Linked DNA regions of Rhinolophus ferrumequinum. The protein of the gene in region 1 interacts with the protein of each later gene in a pairwise test. Links are inferred from orthologs where the notes say so. Each region holds a gene or a part of one and is shown on either strand. Other genes may lie near its edges. The genes, in order: CCHCR1, STX11, CCDC102B and MIA2.

Region 1 (7,739 bases):
CTCCACTGCTTTTCTTTGATTCCTGCTCTCTGCCGGGAAATTACTGCCCAGTTTCCCACTATGAAGCCGAGCTCTTCCCACCCCCACATTCACCTGCTCCTGGTGCAGCCTCTGAATCTCCTCCAGCTCCCGCTGGCTCCCCTCTTCCAGGTTCTTCCGGACAACATCGGCCCCAGCCAAGGCGGCACGCAGGCCCTCCGCCTCAGCTCGGCCGGCCCTCTCCGCCCGTGCCAGAGCCTCCAGCTCCAGGGCCTGGGCCTCCAGCCTCATCTGCTGCTGCAGCGAGGTCTCCCGCAGGACCCGGGCCTCCTCTTCCAGCCGCCGCAGCTCTTGCAGCTGCCAAGAGATCAGCTCAGCCTGCTGGCTCAGGGCCTGTGACCCCTGCCGCTCCACGGACCTGCAAAGACAGGTTAGCACAGGTGAGACCTATCTCTGAGGCTGGGAAGGTGGCCAGGGCATAAATGGAGACAGAAGAGATCCCTCTGCTCCTATGTGAGGAGACGGGGGGATGAAGCTGGGCCGTGGGGATCTCTGCATTCCCAGCACCCTCGTCATCCATGGAGGCCCTACTAAGCATAGAAGGTCCAGTGCCGGGGCTCAAAGGACCTAGACTGGCTGAGATCATGGAACATGGCCTCTGGAGCTACACACAAGGATGTCTTAAACATGAAATGTGCACATCATTAGTGCACACATTCTGAATTAGAGAGGTTGGAAGTACATGCAGAGACTTCTGAATTCTGATTTAAGGGCAAGGTAAAGTCTGAGGGAGATGAGCAGAGAGCGCGCTCACGGCGCTATTGGTGTCACATAAAGTTACAGCTTATAACATGGCTGTTGGCATAGCGCCCTCACTGGGGCCCAGAATCACAGGGTTTTTTTTTTTCTTTAAGCAGGGAACTATAGCCTAGAGAAGTTAAGTGACTGGCCAAAGGACCCCTAGCTGGTGCCAAACGAGGAACAGAGTGTCTCTGTCTCCTGACACCCACTGCAGTGCTCCCCCTTCGTCGTCATGCTCCTTCCTATTTGATGGGGTCCGAGGCAGCGCTGTCTCCAATCCCACGCTAGAGCACAACGGCAGAATGGCATTCCAGTACATTTGGGAAAAGACATACGTGAAACAAGAATAAGAATCTTTACAGACAACACATTGACAAATAGCACAGTGAGCTCCCACAGCCGGTGCTCCATCAGGATGAATCCATCCAGCACAAAAACAGTCTCAGTTTGAACTTCTTCACCTTGCCTTGTATATCATGCTTATTACGATCAGCTGTTGGTCAATCGGTCTCTTCCCTTAGGACTTGAAATTCTTTGATATCAGGATTTCTCCTATTTATTTTTGTTATCCCCATCCCTATCGTCTAGCATGCTGCCTTATTATTATTTATGCATTGCAGGCACCAATAATTGCTTACGGAAAAATGAACAAACTACCAAACTACGGTATGAAATTTCAGTAAGCAAGGGTCTCTGGCAAGCCAGCCTGAGAACACAGTGTGACAGCGGACCCCTACCTGCCTCTCTGCCCTGGTTCCTGCCCATCGCCAGAAACATCCCGTTCCCACATGATCACTTGAGGTTTCTGGTTGTCTGGCCGCCTCTCTGAGACATCTTGATGGGCCAGGGGAATGTCTGAGACCCAGGTGGGAGCCATTCTTGGTTTGGTAGGAAGGGGCCGCGCTTGAAAGTGGGATGGGGGAATGAGCCCAGTGGAACCTGAGGAATCACAAGGACAGAGATGGTCAGTTTCCCAGGAAGAGACAATCACCAGTCCCCTTGCCAGGTCCCACTGACCTGAAGGTCGAAACATCTCCACATTATTTGAAGTCTCTAGATTCTGTGTCCAGCCATCTATGTTCCCCTGGACAACAGGAGAAACAAGGGCACTCCAATTCAATTTTCAGGCCACCTTCCAAAGAGAAAGCCCCTAAAATAACAGTCATTATCCTTAAATAAGAGCCAGGTCCACCAGACTCTAAGCTCCTCTTTTTCTACTTCCCGGAAGTAGGAAATACCCAAAGATCACTTGTTTCACCCAACCTGGTCCCTGATAGAACTGGGGCAATAACCATGAGATGGAGGGAATTTACTGAAACAGGCTAAGAGGGAGCTCTTAGGCTTTACTCAAACTTTTCAGGTCTGGGTAGTGCCTTTACCCTCCTCCTCAGGTTTTTATAGTCTCTGCCATTCTTGGTTGGAGGTGTGTGGTGCCGGGACTGTGAGCCCAGTCTCCAGAGTTCTCTCCATGGCTCAGCAGGCCTTGGGGAAGCCCATCCGGACACCACCAAGCCATGACTCCTGGGCCCTTCCCTATTAAAGCGCTGGCCCAAGCTGACCCCAGATGAATGTGGCCACATGTAGGGCAGGGCGCCTCCCCAGAACCCCTGGGAATCTAGGCAGCCTAGATCCCTTGGCAGAAAAGCCAGCTTCCTGACATCTCATGCAAACCCCTCTAGCAACTTCCTCTTAGTTTCTCTATCCCCTTAACTTCCATTCCTGCCACCCACCCTCCTCTCTTCAGCGTCCTAGAGCACAGCGAGGGCTCTTCAGGGTCTCCCACCCTCCCACCCAAATTCACCCACTTTTCCCTCGATCTAGGATTCCTCCCCCCTCCTTCCCTACATCCTAATCTGCTTTCTCCTTGAATTACACTGCTCCCTCACTCTCACCTTCATCTCTCAGCTCAACAGCCTCCTCTCTTCTCCCTACTCTAGCTGGCATTCAGTCCGTTCCCCCCTAACTCCCCCAGACACCCCTGAGTCTTCACCCCGATATACCCGGAGCTCTAAGGCTATTCTGACCCCCTTATCTGTTCCTTTACCCGGCGCCTGTACCCCCTCCTCCCCTATGGGACCCTGATCCCAACCCAAACCCCTTCTCAACCCCTTCCCACCCCCAACTGACTCTTCCCGAAAGCCCCCTCACCCAGCACGAGAACCCCCTTTGCCCTTTCGCCACGCCCCCAACTCCTTGCTGCGGCGCTGGTCCCGCCCCTGACCGCGCTTGCGCAGAGTGGACCCATTGGCGGGCCGCTCAAAAACCGGAAGTGGGGGGGCGGGGAAGAGATACACGCAGGCGCAGGAGTGTCTAAAGCCCTGCCCAATTACCACGTTGGGGCACCTCCGCGCCCTGGCGGCGCCTCCTAACTCCCGGAACCCGGGAAAACTTGTGAACTAATCAGAAAAAGTGGTAGGCGGGACATCGGGGGAGCCTGCCAGCGCCCCGCCCAATGGAACGGAGGAGGGCATAGGGGCTGGCCAATCAGGAACGGTACGGGGGAGGGGCGGGCTCGCTGGCGCGAAATTCGGACCGGGGAATTCCGAAGGCGGGGTCGGAGCTGCCCGCGCGCGTAGGCCGCTCCCCTCCTGGCCCGGCTTCCTCGCTGTCAAACAGCAAGCAGGAGCGGCAGCTCAGGCCGGAGCCCGAGGGGTCCCGGAACGCTGCACAGGCTGGCACTGCCGGAGAGGAGACCACTTCGAGACTGCACCGCGCGGTAGATCCGAAACGGAGCTGGGGCGGGGAGGCAAAAGGCTGGGTTTGCCTTGCATGATCTCGGGGAGCTCTTTCCTTTGTTATTATCTCACCCGAAAAAGCCGGGAAGCAGGGATTTAGATCCACTTTGCGAAAGAACGTAGGGACCCGTTTTCACTGCCTTTTGGGAGGGGGTGACAGTGGAATCACTTTCCACTGGGGTTCAAGCTAACTAGTTATGTGCGAGGGGTTGGCCAGAAAAGAGAGGCGCGGGCGAGCAGGAGGGCTGGCTACTCTATTTGGATAAGCAAGTCTGACAGGAAGAAGCTTCTTTTCCCCAAATTATATCGAGGCGACAAGTTAGTATTGCACAGAAGTAGGACGCCCCCATACACACCTACAGTTCCCAGTTCCCCAGAAGCTGCCGAATGTATGTTACCTTGCACAGATTGAAGGCTTTCCGAATATTTTGCAGACTGAGGATCGGTTCATCTAAAGTACCATAGGACGTGTTCGTTTTTGCACTGCACCGGGACCTTCCCAGAATTTTCAGTTCAAAGCTGCTTGACAGCCAGTTTTGCATCACGTGCTTAGGATCCTTGGACTGAATTTGCACTGCTCAGGGGGTGTGCTCAAAGTTGAAATTGCACAAATCATAGCTCAAGTTTGCATCAGACGGAAAGCGAACTTGGGCCACCGTGCATGGCTCAGGAGTGGGGAAGGTGATGGATTCCTGAAGTGGAAGAGGTGGGGCCGAGGGGGCGCCGCCCATGCTGCCCTGCTTTCAGCTGCTGCGCGTCGGAGGCGGCAGGGGCGGTGATCTCTACACCTTCCACCCCCCAAGCGGCGCTGGATGCACCTATCGCTTGGGCCACAGGGCTGACCTGTGTGATGTGGCCCTGAAGCCCCAACAGGAGCCCGGCCTGATCTCTGGAGTCCACGCGGAGCTGCACGCCGAGCGCCAGGGTGATGCCTGGAGGGTCAGCCTGGAGGACTGCAGCAGCCAAGGTGAGCAGTGAGCCGTTCTGGGCCGGGATGATGAAGGGGCTCCCCAGGGACCCTGCCTGCTTCCCAAGCGCCCTGTCAGGTTGGATGGATGGTTGTAGTCCAGACCTCTTGTCTTCTCACCCAAAGTGTGCAATGTCAGCAGCTCTCTGCCCGGCTGACTCTTGGTGGCCCCTGTTTAGCTCATACAGGGGCTGGGAGGTAGAGCCAGAGCCTGGGCAGCAGGGAAATATCACAGTGGGGATGTTCTGGGGCCAAGCTCAGGCCTGACTCAGTTTCCAGATTTGCTGAGGTGCCTTGTTCCTGTCTTAAGGCAGTTAGGATGCTGAACTGTTTTAATGATATGGGCATGTGTCTTACTCCCTGACTCGGAGGTGGTCACAGCCAACCTCAAAAAGCCTGGGCTCACATCTGAGTTCTGCCACTGGCCCCAGGTGAAAACTCAGGCCTGTCACTTCATTTCTCTGAATCTTAGTTTCCTCTTAGGTAAAGTGGAAGCTTTGTAAGGTCTGTTTGGGGAGTGTGGTGGGGATTAGGTAACTATAGTAGCCGATATTCATTTAGCGCTTACTATTGAACCAGGCACCGTTTTAAATGCATTGACTGTGGACGAGCATTAACATCAGCCCCGTTTTAGACAAGGAAAATGAGGCACAGAGGGTAACTTCTCCAGGGTCATGAAGTGGGCAAGTGGTGCAGTCAGGATTCAGACCCAGTCTGAGCTCCGCTGAATGAGCTGGGAGACAGTGAGCACGTCAGAACTGGACTTCAGTGGAGTGAGGGAAGGGGTCTGTTCCCTCCTTGTCCTGTGGGAGGGCATAAGAAGTACACTTGTTCCCAGCTCAGAAAGAGCTTAACATCTGATGTCACCTGCTGAGGGACTTAGAATGTGAGAATTTGATGACAGGTGCCATATTCTTCCTCACGCTCCCCAGAAAATCAGACAGGACCAGATTTCTCTACTCCTGACTCTGGTCATGTTTTTGTCATTCTCTGTATCTGTCTGGTGCCCGTCATCAACAGGGACTTTGGTCAATAATGTCCGACTCCCAAGGGGTCACAAGCTGCAGTTGAGTGATGGTGACCTTCTGACCTTCGGCCCTGAAGGGCCCCCAGGAACCAGCCCCTCGGAGTTCTACTTCATGTTTCAGCAAGTCCATGTCAAACCTCAAGATTTTGCTGCCATTACCGTCCCACGGTCTAGGGAAGAGGGACCAGGAGCTGGTTTCTGGCCCATGCTGCCCCCACAGGGGGCTCCACAGCGCCCCCTCGGCACCCTGGCCTCAGCCCCGAGAGCCACGCTGATCCTCAACTCCATTGGCAGCCTCAGCAAGCTCCAGCCCCAGCCCTTCACCTTCTCACGGACTGGGGGTGGGCCACAGAGCCGGCCTGCTCCCATTCCCCCTGGGGCAGTGGAGACCGCCCCTTCTGCCCCACCCCCAAGAAATCGGAGGAAATCGGCTCACCGAGTGTTGGCAGAATTGGATGATGAGAGAGAGGCTCCTGAGAGCCCCCCACTAGTCCTTAGAGAGCCCAGGAAAAAACTCCGAGTAGACAAAACCCCTCTGACATCTAGTGGGTAAGTGGAGAGATCGTTTTCTCAATGTTTCACTGCCTTTTGATTCCTTTTTAGAGCCTCAGGTTGGGAGGTGGCCCTCTGCTTGGGGTGGGGGGTAGGAGGTGGACAGAGAACAGATGTTGGAATGGCAAGACCTGGTTTAGCTCCTAACCAGGTTCACCATTAGTCTAGGGAGTCTACATAGGTTCAGGTATCATCCAGGGTAAAGTACTAGGCTTCTACAGGTTTCCAGTGACCCTGGTTTTTCTCACTTTCTTTAGAAATCGTCATGGGCGTCCTCCGAAGTACCCAGTGAGCACCATGACTGCCCCTGCTGCTGGGGCCGGGGAGCCCTGTGCAGCCCCTTGTTGCTTCCTGCCCCAAGAAGAGACAGTGGCCTGGGTTCAGTGTGATGGTTGTGACGTCTGGTTCCACGTGGCCTGTGTTGGCTGCAGTATCCAGGCTGCCAGGGAGGCTGACTTCCGGTGCCCAGGGTGTCATGCGACTGTCCAGACCTAAGGCCCTCCACCAAGGGGCCAGACAGCTGGCACCTCCAGGCCATGGGTGGACACGAGGGAATACCAGTGGGTTCTAAGAACTGCTTTCTCTTGCCTGCCCAGGAGGGAATGCCCACAGTGCTGGGGTCCATTGCTATGGGTCTAGAACAGGCCCTCATGGCCAACGTGACAGAAGAGATGGTTTCCTGCCAAAGATAACACTGCCTGCAGGAAGTTGCCAGTGAGCTGGAAATTCCCAGGTCCTGGCTGCCATTCACACTAGAATGTCTGTGACCAGAGCTCTGGTCAATTGCAGAGACCATGCCTGGGAAGATGTAAGCCCCAGACACTAACAAGTGAGTTCTCAACATTCTTGGATGGCATCACCTGAGGCATTCTGGGGGAAACCTAGAGCACTGCCCCCAAACTTCCTTATATTGTGGGGAGTCCTATTGCTGACCCTGTTTGTAGCCTGGCTTTTCAGAGGTTTGCTTTCATTTCCAAATAAAGAGTAGCTTCATTCACTGCCATTTATTCTTTTTGTGGGTCTCATACTCATGCTTTCCAATTCTTGGGAGAATGGCCTTGGGAAGGTTTGCAGAACATGAGTTCTTAAGGGCCTGGGAGATGAGCAGAAAAGGCAGAGAAATACAAACCCGTTCACTGGGGAGATGCACATAGGTGGGATGAGCTGGAGATGGGAGATGGGAAAAAAGGAACCCAGGTAAGAAGTCTTCTCCTTTAAAGGAAAACAGACCCAATGCCATTAAAATAAGGGAGCTGGGGTTTGGTCAGTTTCATGTAGATGGCAGAACTGTTACAAGCTTCACTTGTACAGACACACCTCAGAGACATTGCATGTTCAGACCACTGCACTAACGGGAGCCATAATCTTTACTGGTGGAGGGCCTTGCCTTTGACTTGTAGAAAATGCAACATCTGTGAAGCGCAACAAAACAAGGGTGCTAGTGCTGCCAGGGAAGAGAAGAGCTGGTCAACCAGCCAGAGCAGACCCTGGCCTGGTCCCGTGTGCATCAACCTAACCCATGCACGGTTCACTGGTTTCCTTCTGTGACCCTTACACCAAGCCAAGGTACCGTCAAAGCAGTGTTTCTGTTCTTTCTAGGAAAGGCCTTATCTTGGTAGTCTATTGCAACCTGCATGTCTACCCTCTCTACTCCTACCTACTTACCAACCCAAGTGTT
Region 2 (7,448 bases), about 87 Mb from region 1:
ATTTTTATATCTCCAGCATATGTGCAGATCTCTTCTGTTTGCCTCTTTAGATCCACTTTCTGCTTTGCTCCATCCTACTCTCGACCCTGGGAGGTTGATCTGAATGGACTTTGGAAACAGGCTCCTAGGCCTTTAGACTTCTTTTGGGCTTGACCAATAGGGAACTCGAGCAGGAGAGCAAAAGCAGGGGATGAGGTCAAGGCATTTATTCCGAACAGAAAGCCTGTCTGTGTCCCTCTTATTTAAGGTGGTCTGTTCTACACGATTCCTCTCCTTCCTGGTTCTGAATACCTCTCCCCATTCATGAGTCTCAGGCCTGGGGTATGCCAGCCCAGGGGTCCCTTATGGTTCCCACCCTGTTTGCATCTTTATAATAGTACCCTTATTAATAAACCTTCCTTGAATTGTTCTAATTTGAATGTGCTATCAGTTTTAGGTTGAGATCCTAACTGACACAGTATCCTTAATTAGTAGGTAAAGGACAGTGTCCAAATCCTATTCTGAAAATTTTATACCTATAGTCTTTATAAAAAGTGTTCCTTGATGATAATATCATCTCCTGAATTCAATCCACTAGTTAGCTGTATGAAGAAATCATGTTGTATGTCATCTGATATAAATTTTTTTCAGATGTACTCAGGCTAGAAAAAATATTCTCAGATTCACAGGCAAATCTTCTTGCATATAGCTTCTCTACATAACGTGTAATCTTTGGAGATATAAAACTAAGACTCTATAAAGTATATAGGTTAACTTTTAAGGGTTTAAATAGTTTGATATCTAATAATATTTAAATTCCCTCTAAATGTGTGAGGAAATCTGTACCTCAGTACTGCAAACAAGCCATCATTACTCAATCCACCCAGCTTACCGGAGAACAGTTTCTAACCCTGTGCTTAGACTGCAAGATTGTGTCCCCCTCAAATTTATATTTTAAAACCTGATCCCTGATGTGATATTAGGAAGTGGTGCCTCGGGGTGATTAAGTCATAAGGATGGAGCCCTGAAGAATGGGATGAGTGTCCCTGTAAAAGAGACCCTAGACAGCTCCCTCACCCCTTCTGAGATGTGAGGGCAGTGAGAAGACGGCCAATGACCAGGAAGTGGGCCCCCCCCCAACACACACACACACACACACACACACACACACGCGCGCGCGGAGTCGGCCAGGGCCTTCATCTTGGACTTCCCAACCTCTAGAACTGTGAGAAGTAAATTTCTGTTAGAAGTTCTGTGAGAAGTTTGTAAGCTGCTCGGTTAGATATTTTTGTTACAGCATAGCCCAAATGAACTAAGACACCTTTGAAGCTCAGGATTTCAATGTACAATTATTAGCAAACATCAGATCATTAAAAAATATAAACCCCAGAAAGCTAATACCAATGTTAAAGATAACCAACACTTATTGTTCGGTTATAATGTGCTAAGCACTGTTTTGACGTTTTCATATATTATTTCATTTAATTCTCATCAGAAATGTATGAGGTGTTCATAATTCAGCCCCATATGACAGAGGAGGAAATCCGTCCTGTCCACTCCCCCAACCGCAGCAAGCAAAGGATCCTGGATTCAAATCCTAGTGTCTGACACAACAGTCCAAGTTCTTAAACACCAATAAAGATTCCAAGAACAACATCAAAGACCACAGAAGAACCAAAAAATGAGAACTTTTCAAAGCAAATGATTTCTTCTATCCTGTTACCTACACTCAAAGAGCAATGTCAAAATCTAGGTAAGCTTAGAAAAATTACTCTAAAAGAAAAAAGAATGCAACACATAACTCTCATAGAAAAGCAAATTTTTTTGTTGTTCAATAAGCTTATTTTTCTGTGCATGGTATACAAGGAGGGGTAGAAATCAAGTGGTGAACATTGTATGATTTTGGTATTAAATTTTTTTCCTGCCTATAATTCCTGAAATGATACTGTTGCATTCTTATTTTAACCCAAATGGCAATTAAGTGAAAACTTTCCTCTTACATATTGGCATATACTGACCTGAAGTTTAGCATGTACTGGGTAATTTATGTATACAAATAGAATACTTTCTGTAAAAGAGATTGGGCCGAAACAACCTGATCTAGAGATAGTAGAATTGATCTGCTTAATAGCTCTTAAGGGAAACCAATTTTTCTGCAACTGTGATTTTGCATAACAAGTTGCAAAAGTATTTTAAGATGAGACTCTTACTCAATACTCACTTCTCGTAAACCCTTTTTTGCACCATGGCCCTGTCCTGCGGAACTGATAAAAGTGAAACAAGAGCATCAACAGAAGGTAACCAATAAGCCGTGCCTGTCACAGATAATAGTTTAGTCATAAGCCTTTAAATATTGGGTTTGAATTTGAATCATTAATTTAGTTCTCAGCAAGTGTAATTTTCACAAAGAAGCTAAACAGTTTTACATCCATATGATTTGTGCTATCTGTTTAGAAACTATGTATTTCTACTCCCAAAATCCTTACTTTGGGGCTGAGACACGATTTTCTTTTCGTTTTCCTCTTCATCCATTTCATCCCCTTGCTGCAGCTCCATGTCTTTTCTTTATCTGTCTTCCTTTTCCCTTTTCAAAGGGATGGGTTTCTTCGTTAAATACAGTCTATAATTTCTGTGAGTTTGTGGACCACAGCCAGCTTCCCTCCGTGACCCTAAAGAAAACTTAAAAATACAATATTGGCACCACAAAAAACAAGCATGTTTCAAATGATGACTACGTGCTTTAAGATGAACTTACTAAAGGTAACCGTGAAAACAGATTGCAATCTGAGCAGTGAACTCACACATTCAATGCACACATTCAACAAAGTCTTTCCTTGAGCATACCTGCCTTTGGGATGATGATGTTGTTGAGACCTTGGAGAAGCTGACAGATGTTCCTCTCCTTTCGCCGCTCTTTACTTGTGTCCCCTGAGCATGAGGAGGAATCTTTGCCTGACACAGCCTTGCATCATTAGCTCTGGATGTTGAAAGCAGGCCACTCCAGCTGATTTCTTTAAACCGTATTTTCTATAAGTTGGTGATGCGCAAAGGAGAGTTATGAAACAGGAACTTTTGCCACAACACTACATCCCTAGTCACAAGGAAACATTTACAAAATAAATGCTCCTACAAATCAGAATTGATTACAATGCAAATGTCAGTGGGGGACATAATCTATTCACACCTTATTTCTTTCATGGTCCTAGTACATCATCTCTCCAACTTCGATAATGAGCGGACCCCTCTTCAGGGAAAAGAATATATGGCACCCAGGATTGACAAATTATTTCTACTCTAATGTTACCTGAATATAATATATATACAATGTTATTTACATAGACGTGGTATAAATGTCTATGACTACAGAATATAAAATCCAAACCAATCTACACATTAAAAATATAAAATCAAAAATATTAAAATAAACATGGATTTAATGTTGTTTTGATGAAGTAAAACGAAAAATCTTTAGTTTTTTTTAAATAGAAAAGTGCATTGGGGTTTTTTGTATTTCATTGATTAGCTATATTATTCTCTTTATTTTGAGGATAACAGATACTCATTTAAATGATCCTCATCATACTATGACTTTTTCTTTTAAATATATATTCACCTCGAATCATCAATCCTTGGATTTTTTTTTCAGCTTTATTGAGGTATACTTGACAAATAAAATTGTAAGATGTTTGAAATGTGTAAAGTGTGCGACGATGTATGTATACACTGTGAAAAGAGTCCCACCATCTAATTAACATATCCATCACCTCCCATATTTATCTTCTTTTGTGTGTGAGAACATTTAAGCTTTGCTCTAGTAGCAAATTTCAATTATATTATACAGTGTTAACTATGGTCAGTATGTTTACATTAGATCCTCAGACCTTATTCATCTCATAGCTGAACACTTGTACGTTTTTACCAACCTCTTCTTATTTCCCCCACCCCACCTCCTGGCAGTCAGTTTTCAACTGTTTCTATGAGTTTGACTTTTTCTTTCAAGTCCATATATAAGTGATACCATGCAGTATTTGTCTTTCTCTCTCGGGCTTATTTCACTTAGCATAATGTCCTCCGATTCCATCCATGTTGTTGCAAATGGTAGGATTTGCTTTTTTCTCATGGCTGAATAATATTCATATATATATATATTTACATATATATATATATCAAAAAAATGTATACACATTTTAAGAAAGGAAAAAAACTATTAAAATAGTATATACTGATAACAAAAGATAAATACAAGTCACGTTTGACTGCTGCAATTACAAGAGGTGCTCAAAGTGATTACCATCAGCATCCAGACACTTCTGATTATGACGAACTACTTCTTGTGCAACATTGACCAAGTGTCCACTTGTGTACATTTTTTTGACAACCCTGTTATATATAGAGAGAGTGCCAAAAAATGTATACACGTTTTATGAAAAGAAAAAACTATATTAAAATTACTCTGATATATATATATACCGTGTTTCCCCAAAAATAAGACCTAACTGAAAAATAAGCCCTAGCATGATTTTTCAGGATGACACCCCCTGAACATAGCCCTAATGTGTCATGGAGCAAAAATTAATATAAGATCCGGTCTTATTTTCAGGGAAACATGGTGTGTATGTATATATATATATATATATATATATATATATATATATATATATATGTAGTAATATATATATACATATGTGTATATATATACACACACATATATATTATGTGTATACATATATATGTATATACATATAATGTGTATATATTATATGGACATTTAGGTTGTTTCCATATCTTAGCTATTGTGAATAATGCTTCAATGAACACGGGAGAGCATATATCTTTTCAAGTTACTGTTTTCATTTTCTTCACATAAATACCCACAAGTAGAACTTTTGGGTCATAAGGTAGTTCTAGTTTTAATTTTTTGAGGTACCTCATACTGTTTTCCATAGTGACTGCACCAATTTACATTCCCACCAACAGCGCACAAGGGTTCCCTTTTCTCCACATTAATGGCCAACACCTATTATCACTTGTCTTTTTGATGATGGCCATTCTAACAGGTGTGAGGTGATATTTCATTGAAGTTCTGTTTGTATTTCCCTGATGATTAGCGATGTTGAGAGCACCTTTTCATGTACCTGTTGGGCATTTCTACATCTTCTTTAGTGTGAATGAAGAAGGGGCCACATGCTAAACCGACAAGCTCAGGGGAGGTCAGCATGGTGAGTCCTACAAACTCAGAGACTGAAATTAACTATATAGGATGGTCTGGACATAAAAATTCCTAACTAAAAGCGGGTCATGGCAGGTTGTCACATCCTTGGCCTGTCGCTTCCTTCGCAGGTCAATCTTGACCTTAAGTGAGCCTGTCTGTTGTCTTTTTTGCATCTAAAATAACATACCCTTGGAATGTCAGAGTAATCCCTTTTTTTCCAGACCCCTCAGGACACAGCCAACTTCACCACAGCCAACTGGGCTCTAATAAACTCATTAAAATTCTCTACAGGTTTGGACGTTTCTTATGTCAACATTAGGAAATGTCTGTTCAGTTCCTCTGCCCATTTTTTAATCGGATTGGTTTTTTGTTGTTGTTTTGTTTTTTTGATTGTTTGTTTGTTTTGCTATTGAGTTGTATGAGTTCTTCCTATATTTTGGATATTCACTCCCTATCAGATATAGAATTTGCAAATATTTTCTCCCATTCTATAGGTTGTCTTTATGTTTTGTTGATGGTTTTTTTTTGAAGTGCTAAAACTTTTTAGTTCGATGTAGTCCCACTTGTTTATTTTTTCTTTTGTTGTTTTTGCTTTTGGTGTCAAATCAAAAAAATTATTGTAAAGACCAATATGAAGATTACCCCCTGTGTTTTCTTCTAGGAGTTTATGGTTTCAGATTTTATGTTCAAGTATTTAACCCATTTAGAGTTGATTTTGGGGCATGGTGTAATATAGAGCTTCAGTTTCATTGTTTTGCATGTGGCTGTCCAGTTTTCCCAACACCACTTATTGAAGAGACTATCCTTTCCTCATTGTATATTCTTGACTTGTTCTAAATTATTTGATCATAGATGCATATGTATATTTCTCAGCTCTCTGTTCTGTTCCATTGATGTATGTGTCTGTTTTTATGCCAATACCGTATGTTTTGATTACTACAGCTGTGTGAAATAGTTTGAAATCAGGACATGTGATGCCTCCAGCTTTGTTCTGTCTCAAGATTTCTTTAGCTATTTGAGGTCTTTTTGTGGTTTCATACACATTTTGGAATTATTTGTTCTATTTTTGTGTAATATGTTGTTTTCGCTTACTTAAGATTCTCTCTGTCTTTAACTTTTGACAGTTTAATTATAATGTGTCTCAGTGTGGTTCTCTTTGGATTCAGCCTGGTCCTGTTACTGTAGGCAGAAAGAACTAGGCAGAAAGAGCAGTGTGTGGGGAGAGAAGGGTGAGACAAAGGAAGGAGGAAATGAGGTCATTCTTAAGAAAAGGTGCAGCTACAGCTAAAGGTAACAGATTACAATAACATTAGCATTGCAGGCCGGGAAAATTCTCCACCCCTGTGTCGCCATGAAAGTTCCCACAAGAGCCAGTAAAAACAAGGGAATCCCACCTCCCAACAGGAAGGAGTGGTCAGCAAGGATAGCAGGGACCCACCCTGGGAATACCTATGACACCAGCCCTAAAACTTGAATAGTTCATACTCTCATTCAAATACAACCCTAAGCCTCTTTGTTCTTTGGTGCAGTTGCCCTCCTCCTGGCTGGCCCACTTCCATTATTTTGGGGAGTGTACTCTTTTTCTTTACTTCAATAAATCCACTGCTTGCTTGGCTTTGTTCTCACGACTCATTCGATTAGTCCTTGAATTCCTTTCTGGGATGATACAAGAACCCTTTTTTTTGGTAACATATGGTTATAATGAGTCAGTAATTTTAAAACTCTCCGTATAATAAAATACCAACATATAAGTCTAATGTAATGAAAATGTCTTTAATGAATATTTATGATTATATTTAGTGCTAATGAATTGAAATACTGTATGTGATACTACATACACACATGAATGTGGTAGTAACTTTGAAGGTACAGATGGAAAACGCACAGGGTGAGCCCCGTTCGTCCCAGCTTATTGCTTTGAGAGAGTTTCCAGCACATGGCACGGAAAAGAAGAAACCAGGCAGATTCCCTGAGTTAAGGAGATGAAGATAAATGTCCAGGGAGATGAAGGTGATTAAAATTCGTAGGAAAGAAAGAGAGAGAGAGAGAGAGAGAGAGAGAGAGAGAGAGAGAGACCCCAGGAGATCTGCTCCAAGGAGTCACAGAGATTTCTCAGTGCATGCATGTGAGAAAACTACCTGGAGCTGGAGCAAAGACACCTAAAAAGATTGGAAGGAGCAGTAACTTTCGCTCACACAGGCCATAAATAATGCCTATTCCCACTAGCCATACAGGAAAAGCCTCATAATTCACTGGG
Region 3 (6,884 bases), on another chromosome or scaffold:
GCATAGATTAATATAAGGTAATTTTATGTAACTGAAAACAATGAAAAACAGAAAAAAAATAAAATGAGTCCCATTCTAGATACTAGTCCTATTCTATTTAGAGAGAAAGTGAAATAGCATGTTTAAAGTTTGGCTGTAAAGGGGGAAAGTTTTAATAACTAGGATCTATTCTTTTTACTATGGCTATACTGTAGTAACATCAGTATGTTACTACATACTGATATATTTTATATCAGCATATATTTTATAAATGCTCTTCACCCACTGAAATAAAGCCTAGATGATACTTCTCTTTGATAATAATTTTTTTCCATAATTTTAAGAAAGTGCGGTCACTAAGCATTCATTCATATCACACATCAAGAAGAAACAAAGGAAACCCCTGTGTTCCCAGTATTATTGCCAGGCACCTCACATATTTCATTTCTGGTAATATCGATAAAAATCAGTGATTAAATTTCCTGAAACATCAAAGCTGTCTTCTTTGAATACAACATTCAAGAAAATGAGAAAGAGAAAAGCATAAGAGTTGAATGTCAGCACAGCCTGTTTAAATGTAAAAAGCTTATTTTCAGTATCAGTTTCTCTTTCTATCCCCAAAGGAGAGTGGACCACCTGAGAGAATTGCGATTAGCCTGGATTTGCAGATGTTGGAATTGATGGTTGCCGTTTTCTCACCGCCTCCTTCCTGCACTCTGTTATCCCAACACCCATTCCAAACCATCCTGCTTAATTTAGGCCGGATTGACATTCCTAAAATACCAGTGCAACATAGTGGAAATAGCTCCGGAGCCAGACAGACATTGTTTGAAATCCTGGCTTCAGCACTTACTCTCTCCGCAGCTTTAAATAAATCATTTCATGTTTCTGCATATCAGATTCCTTCATGTGTAAGAGGAAGACACTAGGCAAAACGAAAATTCATTTGATTGCACGACTTTCAAAATTGTACTCATGTATGTAAATTATGTTGCACATAGGAAACATGATCATGTGTTGGCAAGATGACGACAATGGAGGTGATGATTACTAAGGAGGCGGAGGAGGAAAGGGACACAAGACTCCATCTCTTCAGAAATTTACAATCGCCCCCATTGTATCATACAGAGGACAAAATCACTCTGTGCATTTTCAGATGCTCCACGATTTTGTCTGCTCTTTCCATGGAGCTCAATGTCTGCTTCTCACAAAGGGGTGTTTTTTCTGCCTCAATGAGGCAGGGAACCCATCTCTCCTTCTCTGCTCTGTCTTAATTGATGCCTCGACACCCTTTGCTCCAACTACTACAAAGTAGAAGAGTCTTTTTGCTTCCCAGCAACTACCCAAGTTCCACTGATTTTTCATGGCTAAGTTCAGAAAGCCAGACTTTTCTTTCAAGCCTTCTCTAAAATCTTTTTAAAAAGGGAATTTTTGAAGATTTTCACATTATGGCAGAATCCAATTGACCTTGTAATATCAGCATAAGAGGCAGGATACTTCTTCAACTAGAAGTGGCCTGAGATCATTTTCAATTTTAAAGAATTACTGCCATTATGTTTGTGACTCTAATAATTGGATGAAACCCTCGTAAATTGCGAGACCACACCCATAGTGAGGCACCAAGAAGCTCTGTCCCAGTGATCAATCAGTTACTGAATCCAATGAAAACAAATGAAGACTGCAAGACAGAAACCATTACATGATCTGTTATTTCACAAGAAAACTATTTGTAACGTTTTGAATGAAAAGTAATTCATATCAAACATTTCTTTCTAGATATCATTCACATACACACACTGATATTTTAAATTGATATTGCAACATCACACAAAGCATAAATATATTGTATCACTAGCTTTTCGAGATTTCTTTGTAATCTAATGCTTATGTCAAAATATGGATAAAAATGAGAATTCAAGAACATTTAATGTAGACGTGAGGATATTTGACTATAAAATAACAACAAAACATTTAATCAGAAGTCGTAACAACACCCTATCCCACAAAATATCAGCAAAAGGGTGTTTACATGATTTTACAAAGTAGAAAAATTAGTGTTGATGTAAATGAAAATATCAAGAAATAGCGTTGTGTATTTCAATACCATATGTTACTTACATGTTTCTAATTATGTTTTTAAGAACATCTTCCTTATATTTCTATTTAATAGACACCCACTCAACATTCATTTTATAATTTATCTTTGCAGGAAACATAAGCAAATACTGCCCAATGGTTTCCAGAGATCCCTTTTTCTTCAGCTCTATAAGCACTGTCTATAGAGTTAAGCATCCGTTTCCTTTTTATTATGCACAGGATCTCATTATTTTATTCTATGTCCCTATCTCCTTCCCACCACCCAGGTAATTTATATAAAGAAATCAATATTACTGCTAAGTCTGAAGTATGCTTTTCAGTTAACAATGACAGGAATTCAGCATGAAAACAACTCTAAGTACATGAAGCGTAACGTATGAGGGTTTGCATAACAATTTTACTTTGTTTTTACTCTAACAATATAGATTACTTCAAGCACATAACTTATATCCACTTGGAACTACCAAACAAGGTTTTAATACCCACATATCATATTGCTGTCTTAATTTAGAGTGAAATTCTTACCTGAATTTTGTTTAGTATACAGTTTTTTTTAAAAGACAGGAAATGTATGACAAGCTGTCAGGATACATAATGCCAACAGTGGGAAATGGAAGAGGGAGGGAAGAAATCAAATCCACTTTTAGCAGAAACTCCAAATCCCCCTGTTTCCCAGACCTACAGTAGTTTTGTTCTGCATCTTACAAGTAACTGTCCTTCTCTCTGCTCCGAGAACAACACATGCTCTGCCCCAGCAGGAAAATATAAAAATTAAGTAGAAAACCACAAGGTTATTAAGCATCTTACCCTCTGGGCTTGCTGGGCTGTTCTAGCGGCTCAGTGTTACAGACACATGCATAAACAACAGAATTTCCTGCATCCTTTTCTCATCTGTGGAGCTCTGGGGTCCTGGCCAACAGGATTATTTCCAGCATTAAGGCCACTCCACACTAACTCGAACAAGATTCCCATTGGTTGTGAAGTTTTATCAAAACCAATACCACAACACCCTCTGTGGATCACAAGTGAGCTAACCAAAATGAAATCATTTCAGCGTTCCCTAACAAAGTATGGTTAGCCAACATGTTGCATACAACCCATTGGAAACGATGTACTGTGGATAAAAAAGAAAACACCCGCCCCTTCATCCACAAATTTGTTCAGTGTTTAATAACAATAGGCATAGCTTGTAATAGTAATAGAAACAGGAAAATGGCAGAGCAAAAAAAAAACCTAAAAAAGTTTCTATCTGCCACGATCCCAAAATCACAGGAACAAAAGAAAATATCATCGTTTTTATCATGATTTTTTCTATACTGCCCCCCCTAAAAAAGAAAAAAAAAATTTAATGAAACATTTAATAAAACCTCTGATTTCAGTCATGCTGGCAGGATCTGGAAGCTCCACAGCCCCCAGCCAGAGCTGTCTGGCCCCTTTCCTTGGGGGGAAAACACGGACTGACTTCCCAGTGACATGACACAGCTGTCAGGAAGTGTTCTGATGGAGGAGTGATGGTAGACCACATAAAAGACAGCTTCTCTGGTTGAAACGAACAGCACCGAATGCGCAAAGAAGAGAGGACAGAAGAGACACAATCACTACACTCCTTGTTAATAGCATGAGAGCAGCATGTGAAAGTCAGGGAGCTCATGTCTTAAAATTAGTGTATGCCTCCTCCCTTCTCAATTTGGAGGATTATTCTTAGCTGAACAACGTTTGCATCATCTCTTTCGGCTTCACAGCATCCTTTCCTCCTTCCTCTGGAGAGGGAGACCCCTCTGCAGGAGAAAGTGAATCCACTGAGGATTCCTGTCCCCCGTCTTCTCAGGGAATATGATCACCCACCATTCTCTCTCCTTTCTTTGAACTCTCCCTTTTGTCTGGATGTTCCCATGATATTTTAAACACCATAAATTCTTCAATTTCATTTATGTCAATCAATTTCACTTTCAATTCGCTCATTTTCCTTGTAGCAACCATTCTCCCTCCTCTCCAAATTATTCAAAGAGCTCTCTCCAACTAAGCATCCATACTAAGGCCACCTACTCCCTTTAAGGCGGCAACGTGACTGTCTCTGGAAACACACCCGTGCACACACAAACGCACGCACGCACGCACGCACGTGCATATTTTGCACAGCGTCCTCTCAGTCCTCACTCTACTTGCCATCTACACAGCCTCTGATGCTGTTCACAATCCTGCTGACATGAAGATTCTGTTCTCTGATCTGAGCACGACACCCTCCAGGTCTTCCTGCTGATCACTGCCACTGCCTCCCCCGCTCCCTGGGGTGTTGCCTCTCTTCCCTCCAACCCCTGGCGTCTATCAGGTATGCTCTCATGTAAATGTGTTATCTCCCTGGATAATGGCACCCATTATCATGGTTACAATGATCATCTTTCTTGGCTGAGGACTCCAAATTATCAACATTTGGATCCAATCCTCTTCTGAGTCTCCAACACTCATGTGCATCAGCACACTAGAAAATACCACACATATGTCATCAACATACTTAAAACTGAAATCATCGTTTCTCTGTGAACTTGCTGTGTTGTTTATCTGAATAATGCCAACCAGGCTTATGGTTTACTAACAAAAATCCTGGAAGCCTTCCTTGACTCCTTTTCGATTCTGTATCCAACCCAGCATCACTGCCTTTTGATTTTCCTTCAATACTATGCCCAGTTCAGGCAACCGTCATAATCTGGATTTCTATGTCCTCCTAATTTATCCACCTGCCCTCATGCTAGTCCCTCTACATCTTCAGCAAGAGTGACGGTGGTCTGTTTCTAGTACTCATGCAAATTCAGATCTCTGAAGATTTTAACCCCTTATCAAATCTCTTCTTCACAATGTATTTGCCAGAATTCAACGGTTCTGGATTATTTTTTCTGTCTTGTGGACCATGCCATGTACTTACCCCGTCCTTTATTACTTCCCTTTCCTTTCAAGGTGCAATACCAACAAGTAACAATCGCTGGTCCTAGTGTCACCCCACATCCTTTGTCAGGGTGACCCCATGTGTTTTGTGCCTTCTTTTGTCATACGCATTGTTGCAGGTTCAATTGCAAACCCTAAAAAGCCCTGGTGCCTGTGTATGTGACCTTATTTGGAAATAGGGTCTTTGCAGATGTAACCCAGTTAAAATGAAGTCACAGTGAATAAGGGTGGGCTTTAACCCAATGGTTGGTGTCCTCACAAGAAGAGGGAAATTTAGATCCAGAAACACAGAAAAGGACACCGTGGGAAGATATAGGTAGAGATTGGAGTGATACGTATACAAACCAGGGATTGCTGGGAACCACCACAATCCAGGAAGAGGCCAGGAAGGTTTCTCTCTCTTTTAGAGGTTATGGTCCCACTGACCACTTGATTTGGGAGTACTAGTATCCAGAACTGTGAGACAATAAATACCTGTTGTTTTAATCACCAAGTTTGTGGTGATTCGTTATGGAACACTAGCAAATACAGTAATATACATAAAATTCCCAAATATATATGGCCAGCCCAAAACAGTTTATCAAGCTTTGGATCTGTATTTGTAACAGTCTAATGAGAACATTCACAGGGAGCCATTTGAATCATTAATAATCTTCAAAAGCGAAATCTCATATTTCTTCCAAAACCTTTACTTGTATTCTCAACCTTAAGTAGCGATACTACCATCCATCCAGGCTCTCAAGCTAGCAACCTTTTTGTTATTCCTGAGCCCTCACACCTTTTTATCCTTCAAATATAATAGCTTGCTTTTATATGTAGTAAAACCTGAAAGAATTGTCTGTTTCTCTGTCTTCATTTCCTTCCATCTCTTGAACCTACACCAATCAGATTTTTGTTTCACCACATCAATTTTTTACAGGCAAGTGTATAAATCACTGAGCAGGAAAATCGGGATATATATATGGAGAACACTGTCTCAACAGAAGCTTTGCCAAATTAAGGTTCTGTTTCACCCCCACAACCCCACTTTCTTAGGGTCAGAAAGTAGAGTAGGTGTCTTGCTTTGTCCTTGTTGCTAAGTCTGGATCACCAATGCTGTTTACCGACAGTGTGGGACCTACCAGTGTCATGGAAACAAAGCGATCCAGTGTCTCCATCTTAGTTCAGAGTACACTGCCACCATGGTCACTCACTCTCTCTTTCTCTGCCCACCCCCTTTTACACACACACACACACACACACACACACACACACACACACAGGTACAAACCTCTTCATTACCTTAACACTACATATCCCATAACAAGTAATAGGAGCATAAGGAAAAGAGAACAGAAAATTCAGCCTTGGAGTTCTCATAACTTGTTGGCAAGTTGCCAGCATCACAAGGCACTGAACACACATCAATATGGGCTGATTTTTGTGTGCATGTGTGGATTCCAATTTCATTGTACATCTCAAGTTCTCCCTGTGAATTCTACTGTTTGCTAACCTGGAATAATTTCTCTGCCTCCTCCCCACAAAAATAAATTGTATTTTTATTTGGGACAACAATATGACAGTTAAAAAAAAAAAAAGCTTATACTATTATACCAAGACTCCGATGACAAATACACTTAGCTCCATGGCACAGTTTTGCTGGTGATACATAAGTGGAAGCCTAATGAGCATTTGTGGAAAGTTCTGTCTTCCTGATATGGATGCCACCACATTGTTTCACTTTTTTCTTCTTCCTCCTCCTTGAACAAGGCTGGGAGGCTGAAGATAGAGAAGAATTCCTTAACTGATTGTAGGGTCACGATTCAGATGGAAACCACACTGGGAAAGGCAGGAGGAGCCAGGACCATGGTTGCCAGCAGGCTTTTCGT
Region 4 (7,845 bases), on another chromosome or scaffold:
AATTGTATTCTATAAACTTAAATTTTTAATTATTTGGAGGAGGCATACACATTGCTGATATTTTTGTGAATTAGTTAATTTTTTTTTTCTTAAAAAAGCTTGGGAGTTTTTTTAAAAAAGCTTATGAGGTACTTAGGGACATGGACACCAAAAAAAGCAAGAAGATACATAAATAAGAGGGTAGCAGTAGGGAGTGAAGGAGGAGGATTCTGGAGGGGAGGGTTTAAGAGCATATAAGATTGACCCATGTGGGTTCTTAAAAGACATTCAGGGGCGGCTGCAGTGCTCATAACACCAAGGTCGCCGGTTCGATTCCCACATGGGCCAGTGAGCTGCGCCCTCCACAACTAGATTGAAAACAACGACTTGACATGGAACTGATGGGTCCTGGAAAAACATACTGTTCCCCAATATTCCTCAATAAAAATTTAAAAAAGACATTCAGGTTATTGGTAATTGAAAATTAGTAGGAATATTAAATATTTCTGTATTGTTGCTCATTAACTTACTCATATGTAGCAACTTGTCAAGCACCCCTTATGGTATTTGGGAATCCAAAAGGTTTTTATAGCTTAGCTTGCTGCATATCTAGAGTTCTACTGCTGCTACTGATGCCAAGCCAATAATAAAGATAAATAGGGGATCCAATTCTTTTTGTCAGAACTTTTTTTTACAGAAGAGAAAATTTAATCAAAAGGTTACTTGACTTTCTTTTTGAAATGAGAGAGCAGTTGAGCTACACAGCTGAAGATAGAATTTCATTTAGTCATGAGGCATGAAGAGTCTTGCTCGAAAAGAAATCAATTCATTTATTCACTCATGCATGCATTCTTTCATTCATTCAATAAAAAGTTATTGAGTGATGTATTTATTGATCTAACCTAAGAGACTTGAAGAATAAGTAGGAATTAGCAAAGCAAGAAAGTGAAGTTATATGATAAAAACACAAATAACGCCATTCCCTTCCTTAAAACTTTCTATGGCTTCCCATTGCACCTAGAATAAAACTCCCATTTCATTTCCACAGCCAAAAGTCCCTGGATGATTTGACCTCTGTCTTCATTTCCTAGTTTATCTCCTACCACTCTCCACCTGCCTTTATGTTTCTTGATTCTCTATGCCAAGTTAGTTTACACCTTAAAGCCTTGTTTCTGACATCCTGAAATGTATCCAAGATGCCTCTGTTTTTTCTTTAAATCTTTGTAAATCAAACTTCAGACAATGAAGTATGACCTCTTCATTAATTCTTCCCTCTGCACAGAATGTTCTGCCTTCGTATTCCCCCACTGTAAGTCTATTGTCACTCTCCCGAGATGCCTTCCCTGAAAAGTTTGTCTAAGTAGACACTTTTCTCCACAATAACTTATTACTACCTGCAATTATTGTGTTTACTTATTTGTGTGCTGGTTCTTATCTGTCTCCCTTCCTTAGCATGCAAGGTCCATGAGAGCAAGGACTTTGTCCTGTTCGCTCCTGTATCTCCAGTCCCTAGATTGGTGTCTGACACATCATGGGCCCTCCATAAATAATACCCATCCTGGAAGATGAGATTTGTATGGTACAAAGTTGGTGCTCAACAAACATTAAATCTCTTTCCTACTTCCTGATAAGACTAATCAGCTCGGACCCTTGCTCAGCAAATATCACACAGGTATCATCTTGGCTGGATAGCTTGGCTTGTTCCATACTATTATTCAAAAACACACAGTAAAGGATAAGGACCGTGTGTGGGGTTTTCTCTTTTTGTTCCTCCCAATCCATTCTCCACTCTTTGCCATGTCCTGCCATCTCCTTTTTTTTTTGCATCTGTGGGTCACTAGCTTCTGAGGTTGGGTCCTCTAGAAACAGACACTAAAACAGAGTTTTAGTTTTACGGGATCAACACCTATGAAAAGAAGGGGGAGAGACCCGGACTGGGCAGAGGGGAAGTTGAACTGCAATATAGGCTCTACAAAGCTTTAGTCAACCCAACAGGGAGGGAGCTCTGGAGTGAGGCGTGCCTGCCAGAGTGTCTCACATGAAGCTGAAATGGCCCTGTCTTTGTACTTCCTTGTCATTTACTCACTAGGTTCACTAGATCACCTAGGAAGGGGTAAGGTGGCTCTCTGCAACTGATGTAGACCTTGGAGTGGCTGCCAGGCAGAGGCTGTCTGCTAACTGCATTTCCCGCAGCTGAGCAGAAAGTCTTAACTTGAAGAGGGTGTGTTGAGAGCCATCTCCATGTCTTCCACACCAGTTTGAATCTCAGTGTCTCCTGGGCCTTGTCTCTCTGTGCATGTATCTACCATGGGAACTGTTTCCAAGCGCTCTGTTCTAGTGCCTCTTCACTAGTAAACAACAACAACAACAAATCCAGCTTCATCAGTTCAAGAAGTTCTCCCAAGTAACTTCTAATCAAATTTCTCTTTCTTATAAATTACCAGAGTAACAGGCAATTCGTTGAAGGAAATATGCTCCCACTTTAGGAAATGTGAGATATTACGAGAGAAGATAGTACTATACAGTATCAGAAACAACATCACCAAGAAGTACAAGAGCAGCATTCATGATTATGTCTTTCTATTCTCATGAAAAGGGATGCTCTGTGATATCATCTCTCAGACACTGAACATGTGGGTGGCTTTCATGATTCCTTCTTTAGCTTGATGCAGTAAGTTCTCTTACCTCCTGTATGGTTTCTGAAGGATGCTGTAGGCCTTCCAAACCAGTATTCCTGAGTGAGTGTTACCATGAAACCTTCTTTAGCAGCAGTACTATATTTTAATATTGACACACACTTGATTTGCAAAATGCATCAGCCAGATAATATCTGGCTAAGTTAATATGACTGTTTTTACAGTGAAAACTGATACTTTATTTAAACTAAATACTCTTATCTCTTGCATGCACTTCCTCTTCATTTGGGTTTATTAGATAAGTTAACATTGTGCTACTGTATTTTCATATATAATTTCTTGTTAAATTATATTTAAGTAATGAGTTGAATATAAAATTAGATCACCTGAGTGCATTAAGTAGCAAGAAAGTGGGAATATTTCTAGCACGTACCTTAGGAGCAAATCTCTCCAGGATGGTATCTTAAGCAAGGATTTTCTTCTCATTTTTCTTGAATCAAATCTCATGTAGGCCAATCAATAGACAAACTTAAATTTATCTGGGTTCTTTTCTCTCTTAACTTAGAACATAATTAAGTCAGTTAGTTCAAAATTTAGCTGTAGTATCTTTAATGTTGAATACAAAAAAGGATAAAGTACATTAATTATTGAATATTCTCAATTTGATATTATAAATTACGCAAATTAGCTGAAGAGCTAATCCTGTTTTAAATGTCTTTGACAACTTATATATTTATAGATTTTCAAAAGCATTCAAGAAACCAACCTATACCTCTTTGAGTGTGCGTGTGTACAGCTATGCAGTACTCTGATTACAAGCCAAATGATCTGCAAATTCATGCCATATTAGATTCTTCCTAAGGACATAAAAATCTTTGATTTGAGAAAGCAGGCTTCCTACTAATTGTTGTTTTCGGAAAACAAGCAAAAAAGAAGAAAACATACTTCCTTTTTTTAGGACTTTGAAAGCAAATGTCCTTCACTTTAGCTTGCTCAGGTGCTGGATATTTGTCTCTCTTATGTCAGGCACTAGAGGGGAGTGTGGTGTCATACATACAAGAGCTACATTCTGCAAACCACACACACGCTGGCATGCCCAAATACAGGGGAAAGCTACAGCAAAGACGGGCTTAGAAAACTATTTCCTCAAGATTGAAATAGGACAACTGCGATTTTCAAAAATCTACTGAGATCTAGTGTTATACAAAAAATTCCCAATATAGGGCTTTGATCCCTTTTAAGTGACAATAGCATTCAAATAACTTGTTTGCCTAACTTTATTGGTATTTTTGAAAGGATATATGCTCGCTGATTTTTAAAAGAAAGTCCAAAACTATGGAACAGTACAAAGAAGAAAGTGAATACAAGTTGAAATCACATCATATAGTTCCATTGTATGGGGGAGCATTCTTTCAGACATCTCTAACTCTCTCTCCATTTATAGAAATATGCAGACAATTTTACATACATGGAATAATACTGTACCTGCTCTTTCTGGAATAGAACTGTTGCGGACGATATCTTTCTGTGGCAGAAGTAGATATCTTTCTGTGGCAGATGACTGGATTCTTGGTAGGAAGGCATGGTGGTTGTAAGTAGGGGGAAACACAGTGCCTAGGTTTAAGTTTCTTCTCTACTAACTATGTGATGTTGAAGTGATTTAACCCTTCTCTATGTACCTCAGTTTCCTCAAATACAAAAATGGGGATGATAATATTACTTACCTTAGAGAGCTGGTGTGAGGGTTAAATCAGATCACATATTTAAGTGTTTAGGACAGTACCTGGCACATAAGTACTACTACATTTTAACTAGTATTCTTACCTAAATACAAGATTCAACTTCATAGTAACACTGAAATTTTTTAAAATATGAAAGTGGGATAGTTTTTCAAAATAACTTTCATCATGATATTTCAAAAACTTTTTGTGACATAAATTGTTACTGCTTCTACATGTAATAATAATACGTACTTTCTCCATTGATGCTGATATTTGCATGCAGCAAATACTCAGTTTGTACTTATTGACTGACTTACCTGAAGTTTTTAACAGAAAGAAATGATCTATCTTTTCGTAGAGGCTTGTTTAAGAAATGTTGAACGCAAGGTGCCTTTAAGAGAGACAGTTTCACATAGGCCACCTTTATAAGACATGAGTCCAACTAAAAATTCCTGTTAATTATTAAACCCCAATGTATTATCTGGATACCTGACACTGCAGATTGAGAACAGACAGTGTTTGTCTCGAAAGTTAAGCCTAAATACCGATAGAAAAATGTAGTTTTCAAGGGATTTCTTTAAAAAAACTATACCTTTTTCTCTGGTATTTAGAAAAGAGAGTGGGGTATCTCCTGTTTTGGGAGGCCATATCTACAACCTATATGGTTTAAACCTCATTTGGGATTCTTGCTTGTTTTAGCATGGCGGAGCTTGGAGTTCACAGAATCCTTCTTTTGGTTATTTCTCTGACAAAGTGTCTGGAAGGCACAAAACTGCTGGCAGCCTTTAAAAAATGTGGTGACTTGGAATGTGAAAGTAAGTTTGCTTTTCTTTTTTTTCTTTTCCTCTTAAATTGAGGCTCTGAAATGAAATAAAATGTTATTGTGGACATGCATGGTAAAAATGAGCATTGATATCATTGAGAATTATTTATAAAGTATAGTTCAGTAAAAAAAGAAAATGTTGAAGACATTTTGTGATTTTTTTTAAATGTAAATATACAAAAAGGCAAAGATCAGCCTGATGTATAATTATGTCAGAAATTATCAATATATTAATCCAGACCTCAAACTTTTACTATTTTTTAAGATAAATATAATTGATTTATATTAGAAAAGATATCAAGCCATTTGATATTTCTTGATTTATGAAGCCCCGATATTTTTCAGTTTCTATTTCACAATCAGAACTTTCTGATTCTCATGAGTTCTCTAAAAATGAATTTATTTCAAACCATCAGGATATACTGTCTAAACTTTATCAAATATTAATAATTTCTAAGTTCACTAGTTATATAAACATATTGAAATCAGTGTTGGCAATATATAATTTTATTTATACCCTTGAATATTCAACTTTATATTCTATAAAGGTATATTAATGTTATTTTATTTATTTATTTTCATATATATTTTGATTTTATTACAAGATATTTTAAATTTTTGGCAGATACAATTGTGACAGAAAACCAGCTTCACACACAAAATTAATCTTATTTTCTTGCTTAAGAACTTAATTTATTTTCTGTTATTAGCATTCTGGTGTAAAATGAATTACATACTAATATATTATAATTGCTTTAAATAAGGTTTATCTCTCCAGTATGTGAGAATTATTTCTGATTTGCAATATGTAAATTAAAAATGGAAAATATTATTAGTGTAAACAAATAATTTACAAGCAAATGTTTTATGAGTAAATATTTTCTTTAACCATTCGGATGTGTAATTTAATATGTTGAGGTTTACTAGATAATGTTTTATAATAATAATAATCTTTCTTTCCCTCTTTACAACCTCATTTTAGTTACCTTAAGGCCAGACGCAGAACATGGAATGAGAATATTCAAATTTATAATGTTATTTTAACTTTGATTGCATAACTTAATTAAAATGTTTTACATATATTAATATAATTATAAGTTAATTTGGTATGTATATTACTGTATGTATTAAATCTAGCATATGGGTTATGATCATTCATAGTTATTGAGGGCCTGTTATGTGCTGAGTCTAGATGGGGGGGATGAATCTAAGAGAATAAAATGAAATGTTAAGATAAGTTTCTTGACCTCCAGGAATTTTCATTCTACGGAATAAGTGAGACAAGATATTGATTAATTAGTAAACACTGATACAACCTAAGGATAATAGGTAATACTGAAGTTCAGAGAAGGGGCAGAGTAAGCTAAACGGATTAGGGATGTCTCCCAGAGGCAGTAGTTATGAGTTCACCATGAAGAGAAACCGAAGGGTTTCTAGGTTTAGGAAAGAGCAGAAAGAAAAGCTGGGAATACAGAAGATAGATGATACAGCGAAAAGAACCTCAGTGCAAATCTTGGCTCCACCATTTGTCAGGTGAGTGACCAATTCTCTGAGACTTAAAGTCTCATTTGTTAGACTGAGATGAGATGAGATTATTTACCTCATAGGTCTGTTTTGAGGATTTAATAAAATAAAGATATAAAAGAGCTTAGTATAATGGCTGGAATACATAGGTACCAGGAAAAACATTAATTATCTTTTCTTTCCCTTCCCTATTCACTGGAAAATGATAATGACACATTCCAGGGACAATGGATAGAGGAAATTGACTGTAAAGGAATCAGAGGATGTCATTTTAAATAGGGTAGGAGGACCAGGTAATGGACAGCTTTGGATACCGAGCTAAAATGTTTTGAATTGATTCTGTGTGCAGTGAAAAGTCTATGTAGGTTTTTGAGACCATAAATTATATAAAGAAAATTAGCATGGAAATACATAGGATGGATTGGAAAAGAGCAAGATGGGAGGGGGAGAAATAGCATTTTAATTTAAATTGTGTGTTTTTCTTTACATGTTTACATAGCGTTAATAAGCAGAGTCTTAGCCATAAGAGATTACAGAGGAGCTGACTGCCGATACCTGAACTTCACTAAGGGAGAAGAGATATCTGTTTATGTCAAACTTGCAGGAGAAAGGGAAGATTTGTGGGCAGGAAGTGTAAGTATCTAGTCTTAAAATCTGAATGCAGAATAAATGGCTAGCTTGTACAAGGATGCCTGCTTTTCATCTCTAAAGGAACTTAAAGAATTCCAAAGTACTTTTTATACATTTTAAAAACCCTTACCATATTTAAACAAACAAAAATGGTCTTGTTTCAGTATTGGTTCCAGAATATCTATGAAGTAGCTTTTGGGAAGGCAGTCTGGTTGGCATGGAGAACTAAGAGTGCTTTGAGATTATTTTTACATAGCATTCGTAGTTTTTGAACGTAAATTTTTATATTTACTTGGAGAGACTTTAGAGGTGCCCATAGAAATTATGGGATGACCCCAGCCTTCCCTTGCATCCTATGGTGCTGCCAATGGCCAAGTTTAAGAGAGACTGGGACCTTTTAGCTTATCATATTAAAAAGGCACATCTTGGGGTGACTTGTTGGCTCAGTTACTTAGAGTGTGGTGCTAATAACACCAAGGTTGCCGGTTCAATCCCCGTTATGGGCCACTGTGACCTGTGCCTTCCTTAAAAA

Evidence for each region.
Region 2: the proteins of CCHCR1 (region 1) and STX11 interact in binary tests that used the Homo sapiens proteins (3 or more experiments, as listed by UniProt). The link is inferred for Rhinolophus ferrumequinum from reciprocal best matches to the Homo sapiens genes CCHCR1 and STX11.
Region 3: the proteins of CCHCR1 (region 1) and CCDC102B interact in binary tests that used the Homo sapiens proteins (3 or more experiments, as listed by UniProt). The link is inferred for Rhinolophus ferrumequinum from reciprocal best matches to the Homo sapiens genes CCHCR1 and CCDC102B.
Region 4: the proteins of CCHCR1 (region 1) and MIA2 interact in binary tests that used the Homo sapiens proteins (3 or more experiments, as listed by UniProt). The link is inferred for Rhinolophus ferrumequinum from reciprocal best matches to the Homo sapiens genes CCHCR1 and MIA2.

Annotation. Positions count from the first base shown.
Region 1 is NC_046286.1:1,661,676-1,669,414, forward strand, and holds the start of CCHCR1 (coiled-coil alpha-helical rod protein 1), read right to left. Parts: upstream 3,011-7,739; 5' UTR 2,929-3,010; intron 1,931-2,928; exon of another isoform or gene 1,865-1,930; 5' UTR 1,814-1,864; coding exon 1,798-1,813; intron 1,720-1,797; coding exon 1,518-1,719; intron 398-1,517; coding exon 94-397; intron 1-93. Other genes in the region: TCF19 (transcription factor 19), read left to right, coding at 4,245-4,482, 5,503-6,058, 6,319-6,556. UniProt on the Homo sapiens protein: May be a regulator of keratinocyte proliferation or differentiation.
Region 2 is NC_046286.1:88,729,535-88,736,982, reverse strand, and holds the start of STX11 (syntaxin-11), read right to left. Parts: upstream 3,011-7,448; 5' UTR 2,824-3,010; intron 2,659-2,823; exon of another isoform or gene 2,649-2,658; 5' UTR 2,536-2,648; coding exon 2,466-2,535; intron 1-2,465. UniProt on the Homo sapiens protein: SNARE that acts to regulate protein transport between late endosomes and the trans-Golgi network.
Region 3 is NC_046302.1:53,808,369-53,815,252, reverse strand, and holds the start of CCDC102B (coiled-coil domain-containing protein 102B), read right to left. Parts: upstream 3,003-6,884; 5' UTR 2,884-3,002; intron 1-2,883. UniProt on the Homo sapiens protein: During interphase, forms fibers at the proximal ends of centrioles to maintain centrosome cohesion. During mitosis, dissociates from the centrosome following phosphorylation to allow centrosome separation. Contributes to CROCC/rootletin filament formation.
Region 4 is NC_046289.1:86,527,046-86,534,890, forward strand, and holds the start of MIA2 (melanoma inhibitory activity protein 2), read left to right. Parts: upstream 1-4,831; 5' UTR 4,832-5,036; coding exon 5,037-5,151; intron 5,152-7,182; coding exon 7,183-7,316; intron 7,317-7,845. UniProt on the Homo sapiens protein: Plays a role in the transport of cargos that are too large to fit into COPII-coated vesicles and require specific mechanisms to be incorporated into membrane-bound carriers and exported from the endoplasmic reticulum.